2 linked regions of the Anolis sagrei genome follow. The protein of the gene in region 2 purifies or fractionates together with the protein of the main gene of each other region. This does not show direct contact. Links are inferred from orthologs where the notes say so. Each region holds a gene or a part of one and is shown on either strand. Other genes may lie near its edges. The genes, in order: FAM174A and SLC39A7.

Region 1 (8,016 bases), about 250 Mb from region 2:
TTCTGTGCAGTGGAAGCCTAAATATCCCGAAGATACTAGATCCCATCTCATCTTGGAAGCTAAAGAGAGTCAACTCTAGTTAGTACTTGGATGAGAGACTACCAACAAAGATTACATGCTGTAGGCTATATTTCAGATGAAGGATTGTTGCTATAAGGCAACAGGCAACCTGAATATACAAACTTTATTTTACAACATAAAACTTTTCTTCACAAATTACTAGATGTTGAAAGGTGTAGTACAACTAATTGGGGTATCCTTGCTTCCTTATTCAAATAAAGTAGGACCCCCATATTTTCAGGACCAGTGTCTCCAGCTTCATTGATCCACACCCAACAAAATATGTCTCTTTTAGGAATGTGTGGGTCCTCACGTGTGACTCTATTACAATACTTGGATCAAAAGTATTTCACTTTAATAGTGTTAGCTATTATCCATGGTTTTGCATATCCAGAATTCGTAAGTCCTCCAGGGCAATTCTATGGAAACATTTAATTGAGATCATTCATTTCAAAAGGTTTCACTATTATCTATAGACAGTCCCCAAATTACGAACAAGATAGGTTCTGTGTGTTTGTTCTTAGGTTGAATGTGTATGTAAGTTGGAACAGGCACATTTTTAAGTGTAACTCCAGCCTATTTTTTTTTTTTTTTAGCTTTGGATAGAATAAGGAAGAGTTAGCACCCCTGCAGTATTTATTTTTCTGTCTGTGCTCCTGTTCAGATTTCACCTCACTTTCCGTCCATGTGATCATTGGATTTTGAAAAATTCGGCTTGTTGTGGAAATAAGGATTGGTGATAAAGCTTCAGTGGATACACCATTTTGCCATGATAACTCACAGTGAATTTCCATTCCTGGTGATAAGATTACCATCCACACAATGAATACCATCCACACAATGGAATTAAAGAACCATTATTCCACTTTTAACGGCTATTGTTCCACTCTAAGGTATGGGGTTGGCAATTTGGGAGAAGAACATTAAGAGTTCAGAGCCTCGAAAAATCATGAACCCCTGGATTCCAGAAAAATGGAACAATGGCAGTCATAGTGCTGTAACTGTATATGAAATATTTGTGGGCCCCCAGTGTGCAAGGCAGAAATAGGGACCCGTTGCATGCCAGATGTCTTGGACTTTGCCACTGCCCATAATAGTTTGAGCTTTTGAGAACTGATGCATCTTAGGACTATGAGCTCTCCACACCTAAAATAAAATAGAAAAGCAGTGACATAATCTTAATATCCCCATAATCTTATGGGGAGAGAACGCCATGATGGTGTACTGCTAACAATTTTGACTGAATACAGTGGGCCCTGGGTATCTGTTGGTGTTTGGTTCCAAGATCGCCAATGGACACCAAAATCTGTGAATGCTCGAGTCCCGTTATATACAATAGTGCAGTAAAGTGACAGAAAGTAGTAAAATCAGTTTGTCTTTTGGATTATTTTGAGAATATTCTCCCACCACGGAAGGTGGAATCCTTGGACGTGTAATCTGTGGATGTGGCACTCCAACTGCATAAAACAATGGTTCCCAATCTTTGGTCCTCCAGTTAAGAATTGTGGGCGTTGAAGACCAAAACATGTGGGGACCCATAGATTGAGAACTACTGGTGTGGATCATGAAAATACGTAAAACCATGGATCACTGGGAGAGGAATGGGTTACCATAATATTTGGTTGATCACACTAGATAGTCTCAACCTTTGGTCCTCAAGGTATTTTGGACTTCAACTTCCCTAAATCCCAGCAAGCTAACAAACTCATGATGCTAGTAAGGACCAAAACTAAGATAGGCTCTATGGTCTGAGGACCAATCTGATTAGAAGTATTATGGGTTATAAACTGCAGCCTACTTTGGATTTTACAATCTTTAATTACACTCATGTCAAACTTATCAGAATTTGTCACAAAGACACTCAGGCTTTGGATCAAACTTTAAAGAAGATCCTTACAGAGGTCTAAAGGAAAGGTAGGCAGAGGAGAATAGATCTGGCCCTCAGAAGTGGTGCCTGAAGCCCACAATTCCTAACAGCCGGCTGTTAGGAATTGTGGGAGTTGGAGTCCAAAACACCCGGAGGGCCCCAAGTTTGCCCATGGCTGTTAGGAATTGTGAGAGTTGAAGTCCAAAACACCCAGAGGGCCCCAAGTTTGCCAATGACTGTTAGGAATTGTGGGAGTTGGAGTCAAAAACACCTGAAGAGCTGAAGTTTTCCCACGCCTGAGCCAATCTCTCACTCAGATATAACCTTGGTGTATCTGCACTGGAGAATGAATGCAGTTTGACACCACTTTATCTGGCCTGACCCAGTGTTATGGGTTCAATACATTTTGCAATTTGGCTAAAAAAAAAACCGTGAAACTACAACACCCACGATTCTACTTCATGCCGGCATGGCATTAATTAATTAAACTGGGATTTCGAGGGACCCCACTTTCACGGCTATGGAATCCTGGGAGCTGTAGTTTTGTGCGGAACTAGAAAGGGGAAGGCCTTGCAAAACTACAACTCCTGGGATCCGAAGCAGTAAGCAGTGAGCGTGGAGTCAAGGTGGAGAGGCGGGACCCTCCCTTGGGGCTCACCGGACGGTCCGGATGACGAAGTAGACGATGAGGGCGGCGCTGGCGAGGACGAGCACCGAGAGGGCGCGCTGGGTCATGGGCGGGCTGGCCTGGGGAGGCGGCGGCACGGCGGCCAGGCTGCTGCTGCTGCTACTGCTTCCATTGCCACTGGGCACCGCGTCGGGAGGGCCGGTGCTGTCCGGAGAGGCCTCGGGGAGCTCTTCGCGGCCTAACTGCTCCGAGGGCAAAGCCTGCTTCGGAGGAGGGGAGCGGGGCTCCGGGGCAGGGGCCGCTTCCCCGCGGAGCAGGGCCAGCGCCAGCACCGCCGCCACAAGCAGGCCCGGCAGGGGCGTCAGGGTGCGGGGAGGCAGCGGCGAGAGCTGCCGCATGGCGCCCCGTCCCTAACTCGGCCCCCCACGCCGCCCAGGGAGGAGGAACCGGAACCGGAAGTGCTCGCTCTTCCGGAAGGCCCAGGCCGTTGCCATGGACGCCGAGAGGCTTCAGTCGTCTCCTCTCTCATCTGGAAAGCGGGCAGGGCGCATGCGCAGAACTTCATCGCGCTGCTAGATAGAACTCCTTGAGTAGCCTCCTCTCTCCCTGCCTGGCAGGCTGGCTGGGCGGGGCGCATGCGCAGAACTACATCGCGCTTCTCCCACTGAGTTTCTGTAGACCAGTGGTTCTCAACCTGTGGGTCCCCAGATGTTTTGGCCTCCAACTCCCAGAAATCCTAACAGCTGGTAAACTGGTGGGATTTCTGGGAGTTGTAGGCCAAAACACATGGGGACCCACAGGTTGAGAACCACTGCTGTCGACTAAAAGAACTCCAAAGAATACAAATATGTGCACATTTTAGACATTAATTCTTAGAACTAGGTGTTTTTTTCAGCCTGAGAATTACAGTGCGCCCCCCACTTCTGTACTGCCATATAATGGAGTTTGAAACTGCATTATATGGGTAGTGTAGACCAGGTGTGGACAAGCTTTGGCCCTCCAGGTTTTGGGGACTTCAACTCCCACAATTTATACAATTTTTCAATTGGCCACCTTAATTAGCATTTAATGACCCAGCAGTTTCAAGGTCTGGTTCTTACTGCTTGGGCCACAGCAACGCATGGCAGGGGACAGCTAGTCTATATAAATAAAAATGTTATGTTCGTTTGTGGGATTAACATAACTCAAAAATCACTGGACGAATTGCCGCCAAATTTGGCCACAAGACACCTACTAACCCAAGGAATGACCATCACTCAAAAAATGATTTTGTCATTTGGGAGTTGTAGTTGCTGGGATTTATAGTTTACTTACAATCAAACTCCACCAATGATGGAACTGAACCAAATGTGGCACACAGGACTCCCATGACCAACAGAAACCACTAGGAAGGGTTTGGTGGCTGTACGTTGAGTTTGGGAGCTGTAGTTCACCTGCATCCAGAGAGAACTGTGGACTCAAACAATGATGGGTCTGGACCAAACTTGGCATGAATATTCCATATGCCCAAATATGAACACAGATGGAGTTTGGGGAAAATAGACCCTGACATTTGGGAGTTGTAGTTGCTGGGATTTATAGTTCACCTACAATCAAAGAGCATTCTGAACCCCACCAACGACAGAATTGGGGGCAAACTTCCCTCCCAGAACCCCCAGAACCAACAGAAAATACTTAAGGCCATCCAGTCTAACTCCCTTCACTAGAGCAAGAAAATGTAATCAAAGCCCTCCTGACAAAGAGCCATCCAGCTATAGATACAGATAGATAACGACACACACACAGAGATATAGTATCCTAGATTTGAATGTTTTAAGCAGAGGGCCAATTGACGGTCCCGCAGACTGTTGGGGGCTGGACTATAGATTCCCATGCACAGTACACACATCTTATTTGTAGTGCATAAAACACACACAAAAGATCAATACAATGTTTAAAATGAAGAACATTTTAACCAACATAAACATACCAGTGTTTTAATGAGAAGTGTGAGCCTGCTTTTGGCTGACAGTCAGTAAATTAGGATTGTTGTCGCTGTGTACCTTCAAGTTGTTTCAGATTTAGGGTAACCCTTCACTTCACTTCACTTCACTTCACTTTATTTCTTAGTCGCTCTCCACCAAGGTGCTACGAGCGACTTACAATCTAAAATAGCATTTACACAATATAAAAACATTCAACATAAAAACATCCAACAGTGACTATTTGGCAAATTAGATCTGATTACTTAAATGCACAACCAAACAGCCAAGTCTTCAGTGCCTTTACAAAAGGTCGCAACTCCGACATTGCTCTAATATATGGAGGCAATGAGTTCCACAGAATTGGAGCATAGGTCAAAAAAGCTCTACATCTTGTAGCTTCCAGGTGTACCTCCCTAGGGCCCGGTATGTATAGGAGATTTTCCTGGGTGGATCGAGGTGACCACTGATGGAGAAAAGGAATGAGGCGGGTCCTTGGCCATTTTGAGCTCTAAATGTCAGGATCATTATCTTGTAAGAGATCCGATGTTCTATTGGTAGCCAATGCAGTTGCAGAATCAGTGTAATAACCCTAAGTCTAAAGCAGTGGTTCCTAACCTTTTCTTGACCAGGGAACACTGAACATAGACCACTTTGACCAGGGACCGCTCTCCAACATTAGTCCCAAAAGGGTTAAGAATCAGTTTTTGGTCAACTTTAGATTTGGTTTGGTTATTTGGAGTGTTGATGTAGAAAATTACATTGGATCGACTACATCAGCTCTAGTTTCTGATACAGAACATATTCCATCCAGTAGTTGCCATCTGCCTGCCCACAGAAAACCATATTTGATAATCTGGAGCTGATGTGGTCTATCCAAGGGGTTGGGACTGGTCAGCGAAAGGGAAGGAGTGGCAGGCGGTGCGAAAGGATCAGTAATAAAATAAATAAAATAAAACAAAGAGGAAGGAGCAGTCCAGATTTTTGTCCTCACGGCCCACTGGTGTTCCATGGCCCACAGGTTAAGAACCACTGGTCTAAAAGGTGAGGCCTGGGTAAATGACTTTGGAGGGCTGCATCCTGCCCATTGACCTTAGCTTGGGAATCCCTGATCTACACTGTAGAAATAATGCTGTTTGACACCACTTGAACTGTCATGGCTCAGTGCTATGGAATCCTGGGATTCGTTGCTTGGTGAGGCACCAGTACTCTTTGGCAGAGAAGGGTGAAGACCTTGTAAAATTATAACTCCCAGGATTCCATAGCATCAAAACCTGGCAGTTAAGGTGGTGTCAACATGCATTCATTATACAGTGTAGATGTGCCCTGAGAATAACAGATTGAGCTGGCATGGGGTAGTGGATTGAGTGTTGGGTTCAAATCCTCACTCAGCCCTGAAAACTCATTGAGTGATCTTGAGCAAGTTGCACACACTTTCAGCCTCAGAGGACAGCAATAGCAAAGCTCCACTGAATAAATGCTACCAAAATATGCCTGTGAAAGTCGCATTAGGTTGCTGCAGATTTTTCTACTGCTGGACCATGGCACTTGCTGTATTGCCTTGGGCAAATCATGTACTCTCAGTCTAACCAGCTCTCAGGGTTATTAAGAGGACAAATGAGATACCAATTGTTAACCACTTTGTACTGACACTTACTACAGGAAGTGAATAAATAATAATACTAATAGTTTGATCTCAAGAAAACTCTGCCTCGAAGACTTGCCATGAAATGCGATTAATATGGATTTTGTGATAAGCCTGGAGCAGAGAGTGCTGAATTATGGTTCTGATATAATATTTGTTTATGGAAATAAGAAGAAAAAATATAGTGACATATAATTGATGCCAATTAATGTTGCTGAGTTCAAAATCCAGACTTGCCAGTTTCTCTAAAAGAACTCCAAATACTGTAAATATGTGAATGTTTTATACATTAATCCCAGTTTTGGAGAACCAGGTGTGCTTTTCAGCCTGAGAATTTACAAATGGGCAAGGAGGGTGGATTCCCATCACATGTTAAATTGGGTGTTCTTACATGTCTCAATGCGGGGAAATGAAAACAAGTTCATTGCCAATTGATTTAGAAATTGTGGGGGAAACCCACACTTGCAAAACGGTTAAATACCTGGAACCCACAGTTGAGGCTTGCATCATGTGATGAGCTCCGTGGGTTGCCGATTCTTACATGTGTAGAAACACTGATTTTGTTGTATGTGATTAAGTCACTGATCCATTTAACTGGACGTGTCTACATTCTTTGGTTGTTCAGAAGATCAACTAAGGGAAGGGCTATTTGGAATTATAATGAGTTTAATAGCCGTAGTCAGGGAATTTTATAGAATTTCTTACTGCATCTTCATTTTTTCGCAGAAAATGTCTATGCGAAGCTTCTCCATTACTTACAATCATAATATTCAGATTGTGTTGGAAATTGTTTTTTTAAAGGCGGAATGTAGCCCAGAGTTGCACGCTTACTTGTATATGATAATCAAAAAATGCCTGAATTAAAAAAATAATAATTCTGAATTTTATCAAAGCTTAGAGAAATGTCTTAAAATATTACTAATCTTGGATTGCAATAAATCCATTTTTACAGGTTATTTTTATTTTTGGTTTGTAGCAACTTGGAGAAGGCAAAGGAAGAATGTGGTGCTCCAGATGTTGGACTTCATGCATCCTTTGTCACCATAGTAATGTTGAGGAATGCTGAGAGTTGTTATTGAGCAACATCTGGAGTATTACCTATATTTGCATTAATATACCTGCACACTACGCAAAAACTAAACAGCCAGAACTGGAAGCCAGTTGGTAGCATAAGTGCATGTAACTCAGGATTGCATATATGTATGCCTTCGTTTTGGATATGCCAGATGTTCATTGGCCTCTTGTGTCTCATTCAAACACTCCCCCATGGCAGCAGTATGGGGTTGAAAAGAAATTTCTTTTATCCATTGTTGCATTATCTATCTATTTAATAGGATATTTAAATTCCAACCTTTATTGTGGAATTTCAGGACAGGATATTAAAACCATAAGTAGCTTAAATAGGATTCAAACATATTAAATATGGCAAGATCCATGAAAATTTTGTGGTAAAAGAACAGTGCTTTAATGAATTTTCCTTCTTACTCTTCATATCTTCATACTAAATCCAAGGTTTTGCAAATGAAAAGTGACGTGTTTCTGTCACCTTAAAAGCTAGGACATGGAGCAGTGGATTCAAATTGCAGGAAAAGATTCCACCTAAACAATAGGAAAAAGTCCTGATGGTAAGGGCTGTTCCAATGTGATAACATGCTGCCTCAGAGCATGGTGGTGTCTTCTTCTGAGGAGGGTTTAAGCAGAGGCTGGATGGCCATCTGTCAGGAGTGCTTTGCCGGTCCCTACATGGCAGGAGGCTGGACTGTATGGCTATTGTGGTCACTTCCAACTTTATGATTGTGTGAACTTCCATAATACCACAGAATTGTGCTGTGGCAGTCAAAGTGGTGTCAAACTG
Region 2 (7,837 bases):
ACAGCTCTGCAAAAGCTTTAGCTCCCTCTTCCAAATTGTAAACAAACTGCGACTCCCATGATTCCCTAGCGGTGAGCCAGAGAGGCTCAAGTGGTGTGAAACCGCATTCATTCTGCAGTGCAGATGCACCCAAACCCTTCCCCCTGCGGGCCGGCATGCAAATCAGGGCTGGGCAGCGGCTAGGAATCTCAACAGGGCTAAATACAAAGTGCTGGTCATCATCTATAAAGCCCTAAATGGATTGGGTCCAGGCTATTTGTGTAATCACGTCTCCCTATAACTCAATGAGCAAATAGACAGGCGGCAGGCGATTAGTCAAAACAGGCAAACCGAACAGTGGCTTCAGCGCCCTGCCAGAATCCGACAGAAAAAGATAAGGGAATCTCAATTAAAGCGAAACCAATTTCTGAGTGCTTGGGATAGCTTAACGAGGGGATAAAAGTTCCAAGTATGGGAAATATAGTCAAATGAAGCATACTGTTGCACTGCAGAGGACAGGAACAGGATTCAAAACGATCTTGACAGATTAGAGAGATGATTGGCCAAAACTAAGAAAAGGAAGTTCAACAGTGACAAATGCAAGATACTCCACTTTGGCAGGAAAAACCACATGCAAAGAGACAGAATGGGGGACGATGAGGCCTGGCTCAAGAGCAGGATGTGTGGAAAAGATCTTGGAGTCCTCGTGGGGAGGAAGTTAAACATGTGATGTGGCGGCAAAAAAAGCCAATGGGATTTTGGCCTGCATCAGGAGGAGCCTAGTGTCTAGATCCAGGGAAGTCATGCTCCCCATGCTCTATTCCGCTTTGGTTAGACCACATCTGGAATTACATTGTGTCCAATTCTGGGCACCACAATTCAAGAGAGATATTGACAAGCTGGAATGTGTCCAGAGGAGGGCGACTCAAATGATCAAGCCCTATGAGGAGCGACTTAAGGAGCTGGGCATGTTTAGCCTGAAGAAGAGAAGGCTGAGAGGAGATATGATAGCCATGTATAAATATGTGAGAGGAAGCCACGGGGAGGAGGGAGCAAGCTTGTTTTCTGCTTCCCTGGAGACTAGGACGCAATGGAAGAATGGCTTCAAACCACAAGAGAGGAGATTCCACCTGAACATGAGGAAGAACTTCCTGACTGTGAGAGCCGTTCAGCAGTGGAACTCTCTGCCCCGGAGTGTGGTGGAGGCTCCTTCTTTGGAAGGTTTGAAACAGAGACTGGATGGCCATCTGTCAGGGGTGATTTGAATGCAATATTCCTGCTTCTTGGCAGAATGGGGTTGGACTGGATGATGGCCCAGGAAGTCTCTTCCAACTCTATGATTCTATGATTCTATGCAGGACTGCATGGCTCACGAGATCTCTTCCAACTCTTTGATTCTAGGCAGGGCAGGAAAAGCCCTGACTGTAAACACCACACCATTGTGGTTTGCCTGTTCGGTCTGCCTGTTTTGACTAATCTCCTGCCACCTATCTATTTGCTCATTAGGTTTTGCAGCTGGGTCAGGTGCCCAGTTGTTTTCAAGCCCCGAATGCTGGGAACTCTCTGGTAGGAATTCAGGGAGTACACTATCATCCCCACACCCTTCTGGGACATTCTCATGGGAAACTACACTTTGCAAAAGGGTCTCCTGGTCCTTCTCTGCATCGGTATCATTGCCATCTTGAAATTCATTGGCATCACTTCCCAATCCAAAGCACCCTGATCCTGAAACACAATCACAAGCTGAACTCCAACAGAAATGGAGATGGGCACCAGAGTCTCAGAGTTGGACTCGACTGGACTTAATGTCAGGCAATACGAATGAAATGCAGAGAACTAGGGCGGGTGTGACTGGCTTGAAAGGAGATCCTGGGAGTCTCAGGGGATCACAGGCTGAGGACTATGCGCCAAGAGTGTGATGTGGCGTTTCCCTCCCAACCCCGTGATATCATAATGATGGAACCAATCCCTCCTCTGCAAAGAGTCCCCAGACTCACGTAAGTCCACAGCCACGCTGTCTCCAGCTTCTCTCTCCTGGGAGGGGGCCTCTCGTGGTCGGGGAAGGCCCCGCCCTGGCTGGGGCCACCAACGTGGTCCTCGTGCGAATGCCCATGAAGGTGGCTGTGGCTGTGATCGTGGCGGGGTCCCTCGTGCGAGTGGCTGTGGCCGTGGTGGAAGTCCTCATGGTCATGGTGGTGGTGCTCAGAGGGATCGCGCCAGAGGTGCTCGTGAGTGTGGCCGTGGCCAGCGTGGCTGTGGCCGTGGTGGAAGTCCTCATGGTCATCATGATGGTGGTGCTCCGCGGGGTCGCGCCAGAGGTGCTCGTGCGTGTGACCGTGGCCGTCGTGGCTGTGGTGCGAATCCTCATGGCTGTGGCCATGGTGAAGGCCGTCGTGGCTGTGTCCGTGGTGCAAGTCCTCGTGCGCATGGCCGTGGAAGCCTTCGTGCTGTGCAGATGACGTCCTCAGCAGAAGCAGGAACACGGAACAGACCACCAGGAGGGTCACCACGGTCCTCGGCCACCGGCACGCCACCATCTTGACCATTGTCTCTGGAGGGAAGAAATAAGAGTGTTAAGGGCGTTGGAAGAGGCCCCTAAAGAACATCCAGCCCTGCCCCCTTCTGCCTTCCAGGCAGGGACACCACACAAGCCCTCAAGACAGATGGCCATCCAGCCTCTGCTTAATATAATATATATTATATTATATATTTTCTATATATAATAATAATATTATAATAATACAATATAATATAATAATATATTATAATAATACAATAATATAATAATAATATAATATAATTATAATAATAGTACATAAACTTTCACATAAGCTGAATCCCTTCACCTTCTTCTGGGGCTGCAGTCCTCCAAGGGCATAGAGTCGCGGGGAGAACGAGGCCAGAGCGTCCCCCGGTGACCCTTTTCTCCAGATCCCTCACTCCGCTCTCCCGGATCCGTTAGCAACACCGGGCTTAAAACCTGACGTGGCACCTAGGCCACGCCCACTCGGTCCAAACCTCGCGAGAAATGCCCCTCCCTTCATTCAAATCCCAACTTTTGCCCTTTCTCAATATGGCGGCGCCGGCGACAAACATGGCTGAAAATGCCACCCGATGGATTGTCGCCCTCAACAAACATGGCGATCAATCAATTTCCCAACTTTTGCCCTTTAGCAATATGGCGGAAAACGCCAACCGAGGGATTGTCGCCCTCAACAAACATGGCGGTCAATCAATTTCCCCTTTTTGCCCTTTCGCAATATGGCGGCGCCGGCGACAAACATGGCTGATAAACGCTAACCGAGGGATGGTCGCCCTCAACAAACATGGCGGTCAATGTATTTACCAACTTTTGCCCTTTCGCAATATGGCGGAACCGGCGACAAACATGGCTGAAAACGCCAACCATAGATTGTCGCCCTCAACAAACATGGCGATCAATCAATTCCCCCCTTTGCCCTTTCACAATATGGCGGAGCCGGCCAACCGAAGGATTGTCGCCCTCAACAAACATGGCGGTCACTTAATTTCCCAACATTTACCCTTTCGCAATATGGCGGAACCGGCGACAAACATGGCTGATAAACGCCAACGGAGGTATTGTCGCCCTCAACAAACATGGCGGCGGTTTGTTTTAGGGAAATTGTCACCCTGGGGCGGGGTAAATAAATAAAACAAGGCTTGGTGGTTGTAGGTCTTTCGTGTGGCATGACTCTTGTTCCAGAAGCATTCTTTTCTGACGTTTCGTTTCCATTTATTAGGGGGGAGTTGTGAGGTATGCCCTCAACAAAGATGGCCCTTCGTTACCTCAGACGCCGCCGCCGCCATCTTTCTTTCTGGTGGAGGAGAGCACATTCATGCGGAGAGAGGAAAGGGGGGGAGGAGGGGGCGGGGCTGTCTCCTGGCCCGGTGCATTGTGGGAGGATGGCCAACGGTGAGTGAGGGAGAGAGAGAGGTAGGCCTTGGTCTCGTCGGAGGCCAGCGATCGCGCGCGCGGGGCAGGCTGGGAGTCTGGCCAAGGCGAAGGGGAGGGAGGGAGGGAGAGAGGGAGGGGGGCGCCGCCGCGCTGCCTGACGGGAAAGGAAGGCGCCGCGCGAGAGGCCCCCAGCCAGGCCCGGCGCGCGGTGCATTGTGGGCAGGCCCAGGCCAAGCTGAGGCGGCGAAGGCAGTGAAGGCGAAGGCGGAGGCGAAGGCGGGGAGGAGGATGATGGGCGACGCCGGGAGGCCCGGGGCAGGTGAGGAGGCCTTTGCGGGGAAAAAGGGAGGCTTCTTTCTCCCCCGCCTGGCGTCAGAGTCGGGTAGGGAGGTGGGTGGGTGTTGTTGACAGCCCGGAGAGGAGAGAGAGTAGGCTTCCTGCCTCTGACTAGGCCTCGAATGGAACCATGGCTTCCAATGACAGGAGGGAGATCCCACTCCAGAATCCTAGAGTTGGGAGAGACCTCCTGGGCCTTCATCCAGTCCAACCCCATTCTGCCAAGAAGCAGGAAAATCTCATTCAAAGCACCCCTGACAGATGGCCAGCCTCTGCTTAATAATAATAATAATAATAATAATGATAATAATAGAATCCTAGAGTTGGAAGAGACCTCCTGGGCCCTCATCCAGTCCAACCCCATTCTGCCAAGAAGCAGGAATATTGCATTCAAAGCCCCCCTGACAGATGGCCATCCAGCCTCTGTTTAAAAGCCTCCAAAGAAGGAGCCTCCACCACACTCCCTCCGGGGCAGAGAGGAAGAATGTGTCGGCAAAAAAAGCCAGTGGGATTTTGGCCTGTATCAATAGGAGCATAGTGTCTAGGTCCAGGGAAGTAATGCTACCCCTCTATTCCGCTTTGGTCCAGTGAATGGAAATACATCCTGCTTATCAGATAATTGCATTATGATTCATAACGGGAGCAAAATTAAAGTTATGAAGTAGCAAAATAATGTTATGGTTGGGGGTCATCACAACATGAGGAAAAGTATTAAGGGGTCGCGGCACTAGGAAGGTTGGGAAACACTGGAATAGGTGTACTGCCATTTTACGGGTACCTACCCTCATTAGGAAACCTGGGAATTTATAGTTTGGTGAGGCCTCCATCCAACAAAATCCCTGAGTAAATCTGGCATTGGCACACCCACCCTCCTTCCCCTCATGAGCTTCCTTGCCTCCAGTGACAAATGCAAGATACTCCATTTTGGCAGGAAAAACGAAATGCAAAGATACAGAATGGGGGACAATGCCTGGCTGGAGAGCAGTACGTGTGAAAAAGATCTTGTAGTCCTCATGGACGGGAAGGTGAACATAAGCCAACAATGAGAAGTGGCGGCAAAAAAAGCCAATGGGATTCTGGCCTGCATCAATAGGAGCCTAGTGTCTAGATCTAGGGAAGTCCTGCTCCCCATGCTCTATTCTGCTTTGGTTAGACCACTCTACCTGGAATATTGTGTCCAATTCTGGGCACCACAATTCAAGAGAGATATTGACAAGTTGGAAAGAGAGCTGTTCAGCAGAGGAACTCTCTGCCTCGCACTTCCATGGAGGCTTTGAAGCAGGGGCTGGATGGCCATCTGTCGGGAGAGCTCCGAGGGTGCTTCTCCTGCCTGGCACAAAGGGGGGTGTAGCCAAAAGGTCCTGTGTAGCCTTTTCCAACTCTAGTATTCTGTGATTCCAAGACTGTGGAACGACCTACCAAAGGGAGAGCTAAAACAGCTGTCAGAATGTAAACACAATTGAAGGCCGGCTTAGAATCCTAGAATCAAAGAGTTGGAAGAGACCTCCTGGGCCATCCAGTCCAACCCCCTGCCAAAAAGGAGGAATATTGCATTCAAAGCACCCCTGACAGATGGCCATCCAGCCTCTGTTTAAAAGCTTCCAAAGAAGGAGCCTCCACCACACTCCGGGGCAGAGAGTTCCACTGCTGAACGGCTCTCACACTCAGGAAGTTCTTCCTCGTGTTCAGATGGAATCTCCTCTCTTGTAGTTTGAAGCCATTGTTCCATTGCGTCCTAGTCTCCAAGGAAGCAGAAAACAAGCTTGCTCCCTCCTCCCTATGACTTCCTCTCACATATTTATGCATGGCCCTCATCATGTCTCCTCTCAGCCTTCTCTTCTTCAGGCTAAGCATGCCCAGCTCCTTAAGCCGCTCCTCATAGGGTTTGTTCTCCAGACCCTTCATCATTTTATTTGCCCTCCTCTGGACACATTCCAGCTTGTCAATATCTTTCATCAATTGTGGTGCCCTGAATTGGACACAGTATTCCAGGTGTGGTCTGACCAAGGCAGAATAGAGCACGGGGAGCATGACTTCCCTAGATCTAGACACTAGGCTCCTATTGATGCAGGCCACAATCCTATTGGCTTTTTTTGCCGCCACATCACATTGTTGGCTCATGTTTAACTTCTTGTTCACGAGGACTCCAAGATCTTTTTCACACATACTGCTCTCGAGCCAGGCATCGTCCCCCCATAGATATTCAGTATATAGTTCAGTGTAATTCAATGTATTCACATAGATTGAAATGAAAAGGAGCAACTGCTCTCAAACACAATACATGTAATACAGTCATCTATATAAATAAAAATGTAGTGTTCATTTGTGGGATTAACATAACTCAAAAATCACTGGACGAATTGACACCAAATTTGGACACAAGACACCTATTTGCACACAGATACACACTACGATTGTCCTGTAAGATTTAAAGTATGATTTGAATTGCAGCTTGAATCATGTCCTCATCGTTTAGACTAATAGATAGGTATGTCAACCCAAAACAAGGTATTTCAATGTAAAATCATCCCATAGTATTTATTATTATTACTAGCCATCCCCTGCCAGGCGTTGCTGTGGCCCAGTCGGGTGAACTGGAGTCCTGGTTTCTGATATATGTAATGTCTATATGCTTGTGGGTAAACAGTATTTTTTTTGCTGTTTCTTTGTCAGTGTCGATGTGGAGATTGCCTGGTTTGCCTACTCTGGAACATGCAACATAATTGTCCTTTTTTAAGGATCCCTTTCAAATCTATGATGCTATATCTCTCTCTCTGTGTGAATCATATTGATCTATCTATGTCTATGGCTGGATGGCTCTTTGTCAGGAGGGCTTTGATTACGTTTTCTTGCCCTGGTGAGGGGAGTTGGATTGGATGGCCTTAAGTATTTTCTGTTAGTCATGGGGGTTCTGTGTGGGAAATTTGTCCCAATTGTGTCATTGGTGGAGTTAGAATGCTCTTTGATTGTAGGTGAACTATAAATCCCAGTAACTACAACTCCCAAATGTCAAGGTCTATTTCCCCAAACTCTTTCTGTGTTCATATTTGGGCATATGGAATATTCATGCCAAGTTTGGTCCAGATCCATCATTGCTTGAGTCTACAGTGCTCTCTGGATGTAGGCGAACTACAACTCCTAAACTCAAAGTCAATGCCCACCAAACCCTTCTAGTGTTTTCTATTGGTCAAGGGAGTCCTGTATGCCATGTTTGGTTCAATTCCATCATTGATGGAGTTCAGAGTGCTCTTTGATTGTAGGTTAACTATAAATCCCAGCAACTATAACTCCCAAATGACAAAATCATCATTATTTTTAGTGAAGGACATACATTGGCCTGAGAGGTGTCTTGTGGCCAAATTTGGTGTCAGTTTTCCAGTGGTTTTTGAGTTATGTTAATCCCACAAATGAATATTACATTTTTATTTATATAGATTATTATTATTATTATTATTATTATTATTAAACTTTATTTATACCCCGCCACCATCTCCCCCAGGGGACTCGGGGTGGCTAACATGAGGCCAAGCCCAGCAATTACAATAAAGCAAAATAAAATACATACTACAAATAATAACATCAGATAAAAAACAACCAATAACACAA

What was found.
Region 1: the proteins of SLC39A7 (region 2) and FAM174A purify together in Homo sapiens (co-immunoprecipitation; 3 studies listed by BioGRID and IntAct, with this or other methods). This does not show direct contact. The link is inferred for Anolis sagrei from reciprocal best matches to the Homo sapiens genes SLC39A7 and FAM174A.

What each region holds. Positions count from the first base shown.
Region 1 is NC_090022.1:251,213,819-251,221,834, forward strand, and holds the start of FAM174A (membrane protein FAM174A), read right to left. Parts: upstream 3,025-8,016; 5' UTR 2,954-3,024; coding exon 2,586-2,953; intron 1-2,585.
Region 2 is NC_090022.1:1,687,579-1,695,415, forward strand, and holds the start of SLC39A7 (zinc transporter SLC39A7), read right to left. Parts: upstream 3,003-7,837; 5' UTR 2,826-3,002; intron 2,531-2,825; 5' UTR 2,526-2,530; coding exon 1,977-2,525; intron 1-1,976. Other genes in the region: RXRB (retinoic acid receptor RXR-beta), read left to right, coding at 4,184-4,214. UniProt on the Homo sapiens protein: Transports Zn(2+) from the endoplasmic reticulum (ER)/Golgi apparatus to the cytosol, playing an essential role in the regulation of cytosolic zinc levels.